4 linked regions of the Saccharomyces cerevisiae S288C genome follow. The protein of the gene in region 1 interacts with the protein of each later gene in a biochemical or structural test. Each region holds a gene or a part of one and is shown in the gene's direction. Other genes may lie near its edges. The genes, in order: YFH1, SOD2, ISU1 and NFS1.

The links.
Region 2: the proteins of YFH1 (region 1) and SOD2 form a complex in vitro, tested with the Saccharomyces cerevisiae proteins (one study listed by BioGRID).
Region 3: the proteins of YFH1 (region 1) and ISU1 form a complex in vitro, tested with the Saccharomyces cerevisiae proteins (7 studies listed by BioGRID, with this or other methods).
Region 4: the proteins of YFH1 (region 1) and NFS1 form a complex in vitro, tested with the Saccharomyces cerevisiae proteins (2 studies listed by BioGRID).

Annotation. Positions count from the first base shown.
Region 1 is NC_001136.10:244,330-246,947, forward strand, and holds YFH1 (ferroxidase), read left to right. Parts: upstream 1-1,593; coding exon 1,594-2,118; downstream 2,119-2,618. Other genes in the region: ubiquitin-specific protease UBP1, read left to right, coding at 1-652; EXP1 (Exp1p), read right to left, coding at 804-1,253; HEM25 (Hem25p), read right to left, coding at 2,360-2,618. UniProt on the Saccharomyces cerevisiae protein: Promotes the biosynthesis of heme as well as the assembly and repair of iron-sulfur clusters by delivering Fe(2+) to proteins involved in these pathways.
Region 2 is NC_001140.6:122,387-125,301, reverse strand, and holds SOD2 (superoxide dismutase SOD2), read left to right. Parts: upstream 1-1,711; coding exon 1,712-2,413; downstream 2,414-2,915. Other genes in the region: TDA3 (Tda3p), read left to right, coding at 1-1,193; YHR007C-A (uncharacterized protein), read left to right, coding at 2,537-2,752. UniProt on the Saccharomyces cerevisiae protein: Destroys superoxide anion radicals which are normally produced within the cells and which are toxic to biological systems.
Region 3 is NC_001148.4:295,839-298,563, forward strand, and holds ISU1 (iron-binding protein ISU1), read left to right. Parts: upstream 1-1,714; coding exon 1,715-2,212; downstream 2,213-2,725. Other genes in the region: protein phosphatase regulator GIP3, read right to left, coding at 1-809. UniProt on the Saccharomyces cerevisiae protein: Scaffold protein for the de novo synthesis of iron-sulfur (Fe-S) clusters within mitochondria, which is required for maturation of both mitochondrial and cytoplasmic [2Fe-2S] and [4Fe-4S] proteins.
Region 4 is NC_001135.5:92,267-96,134, reverse strand, and holds NFS1 (cysteine desulfurase), read left to right. Parts: upstream 1-1,864; coding exon 1,865-3,358; downstream 3,359-3,868. Other genes in the region: DCC1 (Dcc1p), read left to right, coding at 372-1,514; LEU2 (3-isopropylmalate dehydrogenase), read right to left, coding at 3,717-3,868. UniProt on the Saccharomyces cerevisiae protein: Catalyzes the removal of elemental sulfur from cysteine to produce alanine. It supplies the inorganic sulfur for iron-sulfur (Fe-S) clusters. Plays a role in both tRNA-processing and mitochondrial metabolism.

The DNA of each region.
Region 1 (2,618 bases):
CGATGATGAAGATGAGTACATTGAAGAAACCGATGCTTTAGGGAATACAATCAAAAAAAGGATCATAGAACATTCTGATGTTGAAAACGAGAATGTAAAAGATAATGAAGAACTGCAAGAAATCGACAATGTGAGCCTTGACGAACCAAAGATCAATGTTGAAGATCAACTAGAAACATCATCTGATGAGGAAGATGTTATACCAGCTCCACCTATCAATTATGCTAGGTCATTTTCCACAGTTCCAGCCACTCCATTGACATATTCATTGCGCTCTGTCATTGTTCACTACGGTACCCATAATTATGGTCATTACATTGCATTTAGAAAATACAGGGGTTGTTGGTGGAGAATATCTGATGAGACTGTGTACGTTGTGGACGAAGCTGAAGTCCTTTCAACACCCGGTGTATTTATGTTATTTTACGAATATGACTTTGATGAAGAAACTGGGAAGATGAAGGATGATTTGGAAGCTATTCAGAGTAATAATGAAGAAGATGATGAAAAAGAGCAGGAGCAAAAAGGAGTCCAGGAGCCAAAGGAAAGCCAAGAGCAAGGAGAAGGTGAAGAGCAAGAGGAAGGTCAAGAGCAGATGAAGTTCGAGAGAACAGAAGACCATAGAGATATTTCTGGTAAAGATGTAAACTAAGTTATAAATACGATATCCGTAATTGTGTAAATAACAATAACTATAATTAAATTGAATAATTAAAAGTCTACGTTATTCGTTAAATCAATTGTTTAGCTAGTTACGAATGTCTAAAGTTTTTGTAGGACAATTGCAAAAATCACTTCCATTATTATACAAATCCTTCGTAAGCTTCATTTTTCTTACCATTGTACTTCTTCAACTTTTTCTCTTCTTCTCTCCGTTCATCTAGTTCATCTTCGTTAATTAGGTCATCAATATCGAAATCGAAATCATTTGGATCTTTGTTGTACTGTCCAATTACACGTCTTTTAAGGCCTGTCTTTGAGTCTATTTCAAATTTTCTGGAAGCGGAAGAGGCACTTGCACTGTCATGGCCAAGGCTTTCCTCCGTGTCCTTCAGATCAAACTTTAATACATTGGTATGATCAAGTTTTTTTTTCAAATATTCCCTCTTACCAAGCTTACCAGTCGCTGACTGTGCTGTTGCAGACGATTTCGGTTTTGTTAGTTTGAATGTACCGATGCCAGAAAACAATGGCAACAATGCAATGAAAGCAATCACAATAATGAGAAGTAAAAAATAACCGTATAGATTCATGCTCCGGACTTATTGACTTAGGCACCGAGAACTTTAAGGGAATTCGTCCTTTTCTTTTACTAAACGTAGATCATGGGTGCTTGATTTAGAGATACAACTCATCGCACTTGACAAATTTCAAAAAACCGTATTCAGTGATCATATTTGAAAAGTCACGTTTCTTACAATGTCCACATAGCCCTATAGGATATGAGGGATTAGTAACCGTAAATGATCTCTTTGAATCGCATTTTTAATTGAAAGCAACCTCGCTTGAAGACACTTACAAATCGTTACGTACTACTGAATACCAGAAAGATAGTATTTCAAAAAAAACTAAGCGAGAAGATAGAGTGTAGCAATGATTAAGCGGTCTCTCGCAAGTTTAGTTCGAGTCAGCTCTGTAATGGGCAGAAGATATATGATAGCAGCGGCAGGAGGAGAACGTGCCAGATTTTGTCCAGCTGTAACAAATAAAAAGAATCATACTGTAAATACTTTTCAGAAGAGATTTGTAGAATCCTCGACAGATGGTCAAGTTGTGCCTCAAGAAGTGTTAAACTTACCGCTTGAAAAATACCATGAAGAGGCAGATGACTACCTAGACCATTTACTAGATAGCTTAGAAGAACTGAGTGAGGCTCATCCGGATTGTATACCTGATGTAGAGCTAAGCCATGGCGTAATGACATTGGAAATTCCAGCTTTTGGAACGTATGTAATAAACAAACAGCCTCCAAATAAGCAAATTTGGTTGGCATCACCATTGTCCGGGCCTAACAGATTTGACCTTCTCAATGGGGAGTGGGTTTCGTTAAGAAATGGCACAAAGCTAACAGATATACTTACTGAAGAAGTTGAGAAGGCCATTTCTAAAAGCCAATAAGTGCACTTATCCATCGACTCTCTTATATTTATTTAAACACTTGTAACGCATCCAATCTATTTCATAGTTAGAGTCTCTCTTCCTTGTTATTGATATGATTTTTCTTTTGTACCGTGTGTGTATGTATGTATGTATGAACGTACTACTAAGCTTCAACGTCACTCTATAAAGAAACTAAAAAGACACGTATTTATACCTTTTTTGAAGAATGCGAGATTGCAATGAAATATGTGTCTATTTTTTACATGAATCTTTTGACCAACTCCTCATATATACCCCACGCAATACCTGCACTGAAGGCCTTTCTTGCCAGCCTCATGCTTAACCCGCTAAATAACTTCAGCACATTTTCATTTTTAACTATAGATGTAAATGTATTGAAGGAGTTGGTAAATTTTGATGGTTCCAATTGCATTCTCGTTTTTATGGTGTCGAACGGTGCCGTTACTGTGGTGGCTAAACTGGCGGATAGTACGGCGCTTGTTGTATTTACTGTTGTA
Region 2 (2,915 bases), on another chromosome or scaffold:
GACTGAGCAAGAAGGCATATAATCTGAATGTCCCTCCTCCAAAGAAGAGACCGGGCTACATATCCAACAAGTTTAACATCGGGGACTCTAATTCATCTTTGAGTTCTTCGGGCTCTTCTTTGAAAAACGACTCCGCTAGTAACGAGGAAGAAGGATCAGACATTCATGTTTCTAGCTCAGTACCCAGTTTACACTCTCTAACAAATGAGCGCATGAGAAGCCACACAAATAGCGCATCTGATCTTGACTCTGTAAGTCCCGTGGAGCAACTGAGAGAGACTAATATCCATAATCCTTTGCCTGCTGATTTAGATTGGATAAGAAGAGAATTGGTTAATGATTGGTCATCACTAGGTGGTACTGATACCACAGCGCAGCTTCATCCCTATAAATTCACCCATTTCATCTTATCGAAGGCAATGGAAACAGGTGCTGTCGATCTTCTCCTAGGTAAGGTAGTTGGGCTAAAGTGTGACGAGATGGATTGTGTTCATTCTCTTAAGTACCTTCCATCTGTCGTCAAGAATCGCAGAAATAGCAGAGGGCATGCAGAAAATCCAGACATTAAGCTGGGTACAATCTTCAACGATGAGAACGCGAAGCCCATTGAAATCAATGACATCCAGCAGATTGTTTTGAGTATGGGACCCTGGACTTCCAAGATTCTAAAAGATTGTCCAATTTCTGGATTGAGAGCCCACTCTGTCACCATTAAGCCTAGTGAAAAGACAGTTTCACCTTACGCTATTCTTGCTGAACTAAAAGTTAACGACCGTGAATTTTTCTCCCCTGAAATGTATGCTAGAAAAGATGAAGTTTATGTGTGCGGCGAAGGCGACACTTTAGTCAATATACCTGAAAGTTCGGACGATGTGGAGGTAGTTTCGGAGAAGTGTGATGAATTGTACCATTACGTATCCAAATTATCGCCAACTCTATCAAAGGGCCATCTCTTGCGGAAACAAGCCTGTTTTTTGCCAGTTTTAAACGTTCCTACAAGTTCTGGTCCCTTAATTGGTGAGACAAATGTCAAGGATCTTTATATTGCAAGTGGACATTCTTGTTGGGGTATTAACAATGCGCCAGCAACAGGTAAATTAATGGCTGAGATTCTCCTTGATGGCGAAGCAACCTCTGCGGAAATCTCAAGTTTGGATCCAAAGTTATATTTCGACGCCACCATCCTTTCTTAATCAAGCCGAGGAGTAAAAAGGTCAAGAAAAGTATATGCACAAATTTGTACATATAAGAGCTTATTTATTTATATATTTAAAATTTCTGAGGCCATTTAATGTGTATATATTTAACGAATACCTAAATCTATATATTTCTTTTTTTTTTTTCTCTCTCTCTCTCTCTTTCTCTTTCTCTCTTGGCGTCTATCCTGTTTGCCCTTGCGCATGCTACCGATTGCACGTGTAGTATTCTACTTGAGGTTGAGCTGATTACTAATTGCTATTATCATTGTTGGCGCGACCTTAAACCTGGACCAATAACACAGGCCGAACCACTAGCTTCGCAAAAAAAAAAGTAGGGATGTGCCGAAAAATTTCCGCGACCGTAGCAGACACCCCTGATGAAGAAGCTATAACTTGTATATAAGAGCGTTGCATCCCCAAAATATACAAGCTAGCTACAGCGATTGCTTTTCACTTGCTGCTACAGGAACGAAACCCCAATTGATAACTATACCTCCTAAAAACGTACCAGGATGTTCGCGAAAACAGCAGCTGCTAATTTAACCAAGAAGGGTGGTTTGTCATTGCTCTCCACCACAGCAAGGAGAACCAAAGTCACCTTGCCAGACTTGAAGTGGGACTTCGGTGCATTGGAACCTTATATCTCCGGTCAAATCAACGAATTGCATTACACCAAGCACCATCAAACTTATGTGAACGGATTCAACACTGCTGTTGACCAATTCCAAGAACTCTCAGATCTTCTGGCCAAGGAGCCCTCTCCCGCAAACGCAAGAAAAATGATTGCTATCCAACAAAACATCAAGTTCCATGGCGGTGGTTTCACAAACCACTGTCTATTCTGGGAAAACCTGGCTCCAGAGTCGCAGGGCGGTGGTGAACCACCCACCGGCGCTTTGGCAAAGGCAATCGACGAGCAGTTTGGCAGTCTGGACGAGCTGATTAAGTTGACCAACACAAAGCTAGCAGGCGTGCAGGGCTCCGGATGGGCCTTCATTGTGAAAAACCTCTCTAATGGAGGCAAGCTGGACGTTGTTCAAACCTACAACCAGGATACCGTCACAGGCCCACTAGTTCCTCTAGTTGCCATTGACGCCTGGGAACACGCCTACTACTTGCAGTACCAAAACAAGAAAGCCGACTACTTCAAAGCCATTTGGAATGTGGTCAACTGGAAAGAAGCATCCAGAAGATTCGATGCTGGCAAGATCTGAAGAAAGAAAGAAAGAAAATACCTTTTTTTTTCCACTGTGTCGTTTTTATTCTAACTACTCTACTAAATCACACAACCACACTCCCCTATTTAATAATATATTTTACTATTAAAATACATATACATGCATCGTAAAAAAAGAAAAAAAGAAAAGAAAAGAACCGAAAAAGACAATACAACCAACCTTCCTCCACTTTTTCTTTTTCCTTGTTCTCTCTCGCTTCCTACGTTACTCGCGCCTGTGCACTACATTCCCACCAGATTAACTCACCACCAGGCAGAGAACCAATTGTTCTTGTTATTGTTCCAACCGATAATTGTAAAGCCATTAAGGTCGTAAACGACTGCTTACTCAGGGAGATCTCCGAAAACGGCAATTGCTGTGCACCGTGCGACGTTATGATCGCCGCCTGTCCCGTACAGACGAACAATTGCAACAATGGGCGGTTGTTTAGAGAGGTTTTGTGCCGCGCCCGGGAATTACCGGGGGCACAGCAAAATAC
Region 3 (2,725 bases), on another chromosome or scaffold:
GGGGAGGGGAGTATAGGTGTCTGTGGCTTGCTAGCTGTTGGTGCCACTCCTCTCATTGGTGATGATATCTCCTTCACCCGTGGATCAGGAGTCGCAACTGCTTTAATGCCACCAGACTCATTCTCAGTCGTGCTAGTATTAACAACAGGTAATGGTTTCTTGGCAGTGGAAGCTGAAGAAGAGGTAGACCGTTTGCTAAACAAAGATCCAAAAATCGACCTTTTAGTCTTTTCTCCACTAGTCGAGTTGCTTCTCTTGAGAGTAGCATTAGATGGTGAAGAAATTGGCGGGTGCTTTCCCTTGCCAACAGAAGAAGATGCGGTGGCGTTTATGGCAGAACTGGCCAGTCTTGGTTTGGACGAGACCACAGCATTGGATATAGAAGTGGAACGTTTTTTCCTTACAAATTGAGTACTTGAGCCGTTGTCATCATTATCTATAAGGTCTATGGCGTCTACGGTAGCCGGATTATCAATGTCAGCGGAATCGCTCCGGTTACCGCTATTAATAGGAGTAAGTAGCGGTATGTTATCAGTGTCTGATGCAGAGGTATTACCATCGTTCCTCTTCAAATCTGGTTTCTCAGTATTACAAAGTGCTGCATTGGATACAGATGACGACCTCGCACGAGGCTTATCATTGCTAGACCTGTTACCACTCGTGCTATTGTCTCCGTTTTTCGAAGAGGACGTAGATGAAGAGGAGGCTGGCGACGTAGAAGGCCTCGATGGCTTCGTATTTGTCTTCCGTCTACTCTTACCTTTATACAACCAATCTACGGGCACATCGAACTCGGTGTTAGTTATCATAACCTAGATGCTATCTCCACTCCCTATGCTTGCTTTGGTGGACTATTGTTTCCGTTATTCGCAATTTCTATAGGACTACTATAGATTATATAAACTGAATTTTAGCTTTATGCTGTGGTGTTATTTCCCAAAACACGCTCTTCTTTCTTACGCTTTCCGTTAGCTTATTTGCTCACGGTATCAAGATTACTTTTTTTTTTTTTTCTTCTTTTCTTTTTCTTGCACTACCCTCTTCTTCTTGTTCTTCCTTGCGTTTTTACCCCTCTTCCCTTTATTTTGCAGCAAAAAGAAAGATGGAAAGGCAAAAGTGAAGGCATGATGATGACAAACTTGAAAAGAAAGAGAACAGCGAAAAGAGATGAATAATCCATGGCAATGACTGCACGCTCATGGGTATCAATTGGCTAGGTCTAATATTGTTATTGTTTGGAGTATGGCGTAGAGAAGTGGTTCCTTAACCTTAATTAATGCCCGTGCCATGATGATTGCATCACTGAGACGTAATGTGGAAACACCACTTCTCGGTCCGCGGACATCAACCGAAGGAAAAATGACAAGCTATTTCCGTGTATATCCGCGCCAATCCCTTCGGGGCCGAAGTTCGGAGGCTTTATCTCCGCTTAGCCAAGGCCGTCAAAGGCGATAAGGTGCGTTGCACCCCAATTAGCCATGGAGAAGGAAAAAAAAAGCATGTATGATCATGATGATGCAAAAATTGAGAGGAAAAATGACTCAGGCTATTTATATAAGTAAATGAAAGGGTTTCGTTGTAGCCTTTTCTGCTCTCTTCCTTCGCTCTTCCGCATATATATTTGTGTTCAGAGATTATTCTTAAATCCATAAGAACATCCCTTCATATAACAATTGAATAAGGAAAACACAACACATAACACATATTTAACCTGATGCTTCCTGTTATAACGAGATTTGCAAGGCCTGCTCTGATGGCCATCAGACCTGTGAATGCCATGGGGGTTTTGAGAGCGTCCAGCATAACGAAAAGGCTTTATCATCCCAAGGTCATAGAGCATTATACACATCCAAGAAACGTCGGCTCATTAGATAAAAAATTGCCCAACGTCGGCACTGGTCTAGTGGGTGCGCCAGCGTGCGGTGATGTGATGAGGTTGCAGATCAAAGTCAACGACTCTACTGGCGTTATTGAAGATGTCAAATTCAAAACTTTTGGATGTGGCTCCGCCATTGCCTCCTCTTCATATATGACTGAATTGGTACAGGGGATGACCTTGGACGATGCGGCAAAAATTAAGAACACTGAAATTGCTAAGGAGTTGAGCTTGCCCCCAGTCAAGTTGCATTGCTCTATGTTAGCGGAAGATGCGATCAAGGCAGCTATTAAGGACTACAAATCTAAGAGAAACACTCCAACCATGTTATCGTAATGAATAAGAAGATAACCGGGACAAGAACAAGATCAAACCCTCACTAATCAACAAGTTGGACTTAATTTGTGCAAGCATGGATGTTTCTCATTAATATTGTCATATTTCTTTCCCTTAATCTAGCATTTCCTTTCTCTCCCTCTTCTCATGCATATCTTCCTAGATATATTTCTCCAGGGTGAAAGCGGGACGGACGTGCTTGTTTTACCTCACCTGGTACTACTAGTATTTTCATTACTCTTTTTTCATCCTCCCACTTCCCCCTTATATATTTGTTTTCCCATGTGTGGTATATGGCATCATTATTATATAAATATTCTTTAGTTGTAAAAGGCTGTTTTAATTAACACTATTTATCGCTAGACAAAACTAGACTTTCATTATTTCCTTCATTTCAACGCTTGTTTAAACATGTGCTAGGTAAGCGAGTTTTTTACTTTTACTTCCAATAAATATATATATATATATACGTATACATGTATGGGCGGGCTACAACAAAATGAAATAAAAAGC
Region 4 (3,868 bases), on another chromosome or scaffold:
CAAAGCCTTTGTTTACCATTGTTTTTATTTACCTTTTTAGAATTGTTCGAACAAAACCCTAGGTCTTGGCAACTGGCAATCGCTCAACATGACCTAATTTATAGCTTAGGGTTCTTTTTTGTCAATTCTATGCGTATGACAAAGAGCACCACGATGGTGATCGAAATCTCTAGGAGTAGCATACCACAGCGATATTATTTAGTAGTAGGCGGTTTATTATCTTTGTCCCTTTATACTGTTGTGTTTCTTGCTTATTGCTTCAGTAGGCAGCGTATAGTATAACCAGAAAAAAGTGAAAAATAAACTAAAAAAGCACTATGAGATGAACGGTAAAAATCCACCAGAGATTTGCTCACTAATAATCCTGTACCATGTCCATCAACCTACATTCCGCACCCGAGTATGATCCATCTTATAAGCTGATCCAGTTGACACCAGAGTTACTGGATATAATACAGGATCCGGTTCAAAATCACCAGTTAAGGTTTAAGTCATTGGACAAAGACAAGTCTGAAGTTGTACTGTGTTCGCACGACAAGACTTGGGTGCTGAAGCAGCGCAAACATTCAAACACAGTTCTACTAATGAGAGAATTTGTTCCTGAACAACCTATTACTTTCGACGAAACGCTCTTGTTTGGACTGTCCAAGCCGTACATGGACGTCGTGGGATTCGCCAAGACTGAATCAGAATTTGAGACCAGAGAGACACATGGCGAATTGAACTTGAATTCAGTACCAATATACAACGGAGAACTGGATTTCTCCGACAAAATCATGAAGAGGTCATCTACAAAGGTTATCGGGACCCTGGAAGAACTACTTGAGAACTCACCATGTTCTGCGCTAGAAGGTATATCAAAATGGCATAAGATTGGTGGATCTGTGAAAGACGGTGTGTTGTGTATTCTTTCACAAGACTTCCTTTTCAAAGCACTGCATGTACTACTGATGAGCGCAATGGCAGAATCACTCGATCTACAGCATCTGAATGTTGAGGATACACATCACGCTGTGGGGAAGGACATTGAGGACGAGTTCAATCCATACACAAGAGAAATCATTGAAACAGTGCTGAATAAATTTGCTGTTCAAGAGCAAGAGGCTGAAAACAATACGTGGCGCTTGAGAATACCGTTTATAGCTCAGTGGTACGGGATTCAAGCGCTAAGGAAATATGTTTCTGGAATAAGCATGCCAATTGATGAGTTCCTCATCAAGTGGAAGTCCCTTTTCCCACCTTTCTTCCCATGTGACATTGACATTGACATGCTGCGAGGCTATCATTTCAAGCCTACCGATAAGACTGTCCAGTATATAGCGAAAAGCACACTACCAATGGACCCCAAAGAACGGTTTAAAGTCCTGTTTAGGCTACAGTCACAGTGGGACTTGGAGGATATCAAGCCTCTAATTGAAGAACTAAATTCAAGAGGTATGAAAATAGACAGTTTCATCATGAAGTATGCCCGCCGTAAAAGACTGGGCAAAAAGACCGTGGTCACGAGCAGGTAGCACACAAAACTGCCTTCGATGGGCAATGCGAATATATAGCGGAACCACTAAAGTAATAGTGGATGACGTGAATAGCAACAAATATCTATCATAGTAGCTTTATATATTTATATATATTACAATACTATTATGCACCCTATTACCCGCAATAGTTGATAGTGACCTACCAATTTTAGATACGGTCGCTGACAAATAGTAAGGCCATCGCCCAGGGATATATGATGACTATCTAAGTAACTCACTCAGAGTAAAGACCGACAGAGTTCATTAGTGTGTTATATTTTCTATTTCAGATACATCATTTTCATTAAAATATATCGCATACACGAAGGAACTGCTACAACTGGAAGATGTTGAAATCAACTGCTACAAGATCGATAACAAGATTATCTCAAGTTTACAACGTTCCAGCGGCCACATATAGGGCTTGTTTGGTAAGCAGGAGATTCTATTCCCCTCCTGCAGCAGGCGTGAAGTTAGACGACAACTTCTCTCTGGAAACGCATACCGATATTCAGGCTGCTGCAAAGGCACAGGCTAGTGCCCGTGCGAGTGCATCCGGTACCACCCCAGATGCTGTAGTAGCTTCTGGTAGCACTGCAATGAGCCATGCTTATCAAGAAAACACAGGTTTTGGTACTCGTCCCATATATCTTGACATGCAAGCCACTACACCAACAGACCCTAGGGTTTTGGATACGATGTTGAAGTTTTATACGGGACTTTATGGTAATCCTCATTCCAACACTCACTCTTACGGTTGGGAAACAAATACTGCTGTGGAAAATGCTAGAGCTCACGTAGCAAAGATGATCAATGCCGACCCCAAGGAAATAATATTCACTTCGGGAGCGACCGAATCTAATAATATGGTTCTTAAGGGTGTCCCAAGATTTTATAAGAAGACTAAGAAACACATCATCACCACTAGAACGGAACACAAGTGTGTCTTGGAAGCCGCACGGGCCATGATGAAGGAGGGATTTGAAGTCACTTTCCTAAATGTGGACGATCAAGGTCTTATCGATTTGAAGGAATTGGAAGATGCCATTAGACCAGATACCTGTCTCGTCTCTGTGATGGCTGTCAATAATGAAATCGGTGTCATTCAACCTATTAAAGAAATTGGTGCAATTTGTAGAAAGAATAAGATCTACTTTCATACTGACGCCGCACAAGCCTATGGTAAGATTCACATTGATGTCAATGAAATGAACATTGATTTACTATCAATTTCTTCTCACAAGATTTACGGTCCAAAGGGAATAGGTGCCATCTATGTAAGAAGGAGACCAAGAGTTAGATTAGAACCTTTACTATCCGGTGGTGGCCAAGAGAGAGGATTGAGATCTGGTACTTTGGCCCCCCCATTGGTAGCGGGATTTGGTGAAGCTGCGAGATTGATGAAGAAAGAATTTGACAACGACCAAGCTCACATCAAAAGACTATCCGATAAATTAGTCAAAGGTCTATTATCCGCTGAACATACCACGTTGAACGGATCTCCAGATCATCGTTATCCAGGGTGTGTTAACGTTTCTTTCGCCTACGTGGAAGGAGAATCTTTATTGATGGCACTAAGGGATATCGCATTATCCTCGGGTTCAGCCTGTACATCTGCTTCCCTAGAACCTTCTTATGTTTTACATGCGCTGGGTAAGGATGATGCATTAGCCCATTCTTCCATCAGATTTGGTATTGGTAGATTTAGTACTGAAGAGGAGGTCGACTACGTCGTTAAGGCCGTTTCTGACAGAGTAAAATTCTTGAGGGAACTTTCACCATTATGGGAAATGGTTCAAGAAGGTATTGACTTAAACTCCATCAAATGGTCAGGTCATTGAGTGTTTTTTATTTGTTGTATTTTTTTTTTTTTAGAGAAAATCCTCCAATATATAAATTAGGAATCATAGTTTCATGATTTTCTGTTACACCTAACTTTTTGTGTGGTGCCCTCCTCCTTGTCAATATTAATGTTAAAGTGCAATTCTTTTTCCTTATCACGTTGAGCCATTAGTATCAATTTGCTTACCTGTATTCCTTTACATCCTCCTTTTTCTCCTTCTTGATAAATGTATGTAGATTGCGTATATAGTTTCGTCTACCCTATGAACATATTCCATTTTGTAATTTCGTGTCGTTTCTATTATGAATTTCATTTATAAAGTTTATGTACAAATATCATAAAAAAAGAGAATCTTTTTAAGCAAGGATTTTCTTAACTTCTTCGGCGACAGCATCACCGACTTCGGTGGTACTGTTGGAACCACCTAAATCACCAGTTCTGATACCTGCATCCAAAACCTTTTTAACTGCATCTTCAATGGCCTTACCTTCTTCAGGCAAGTTCAATG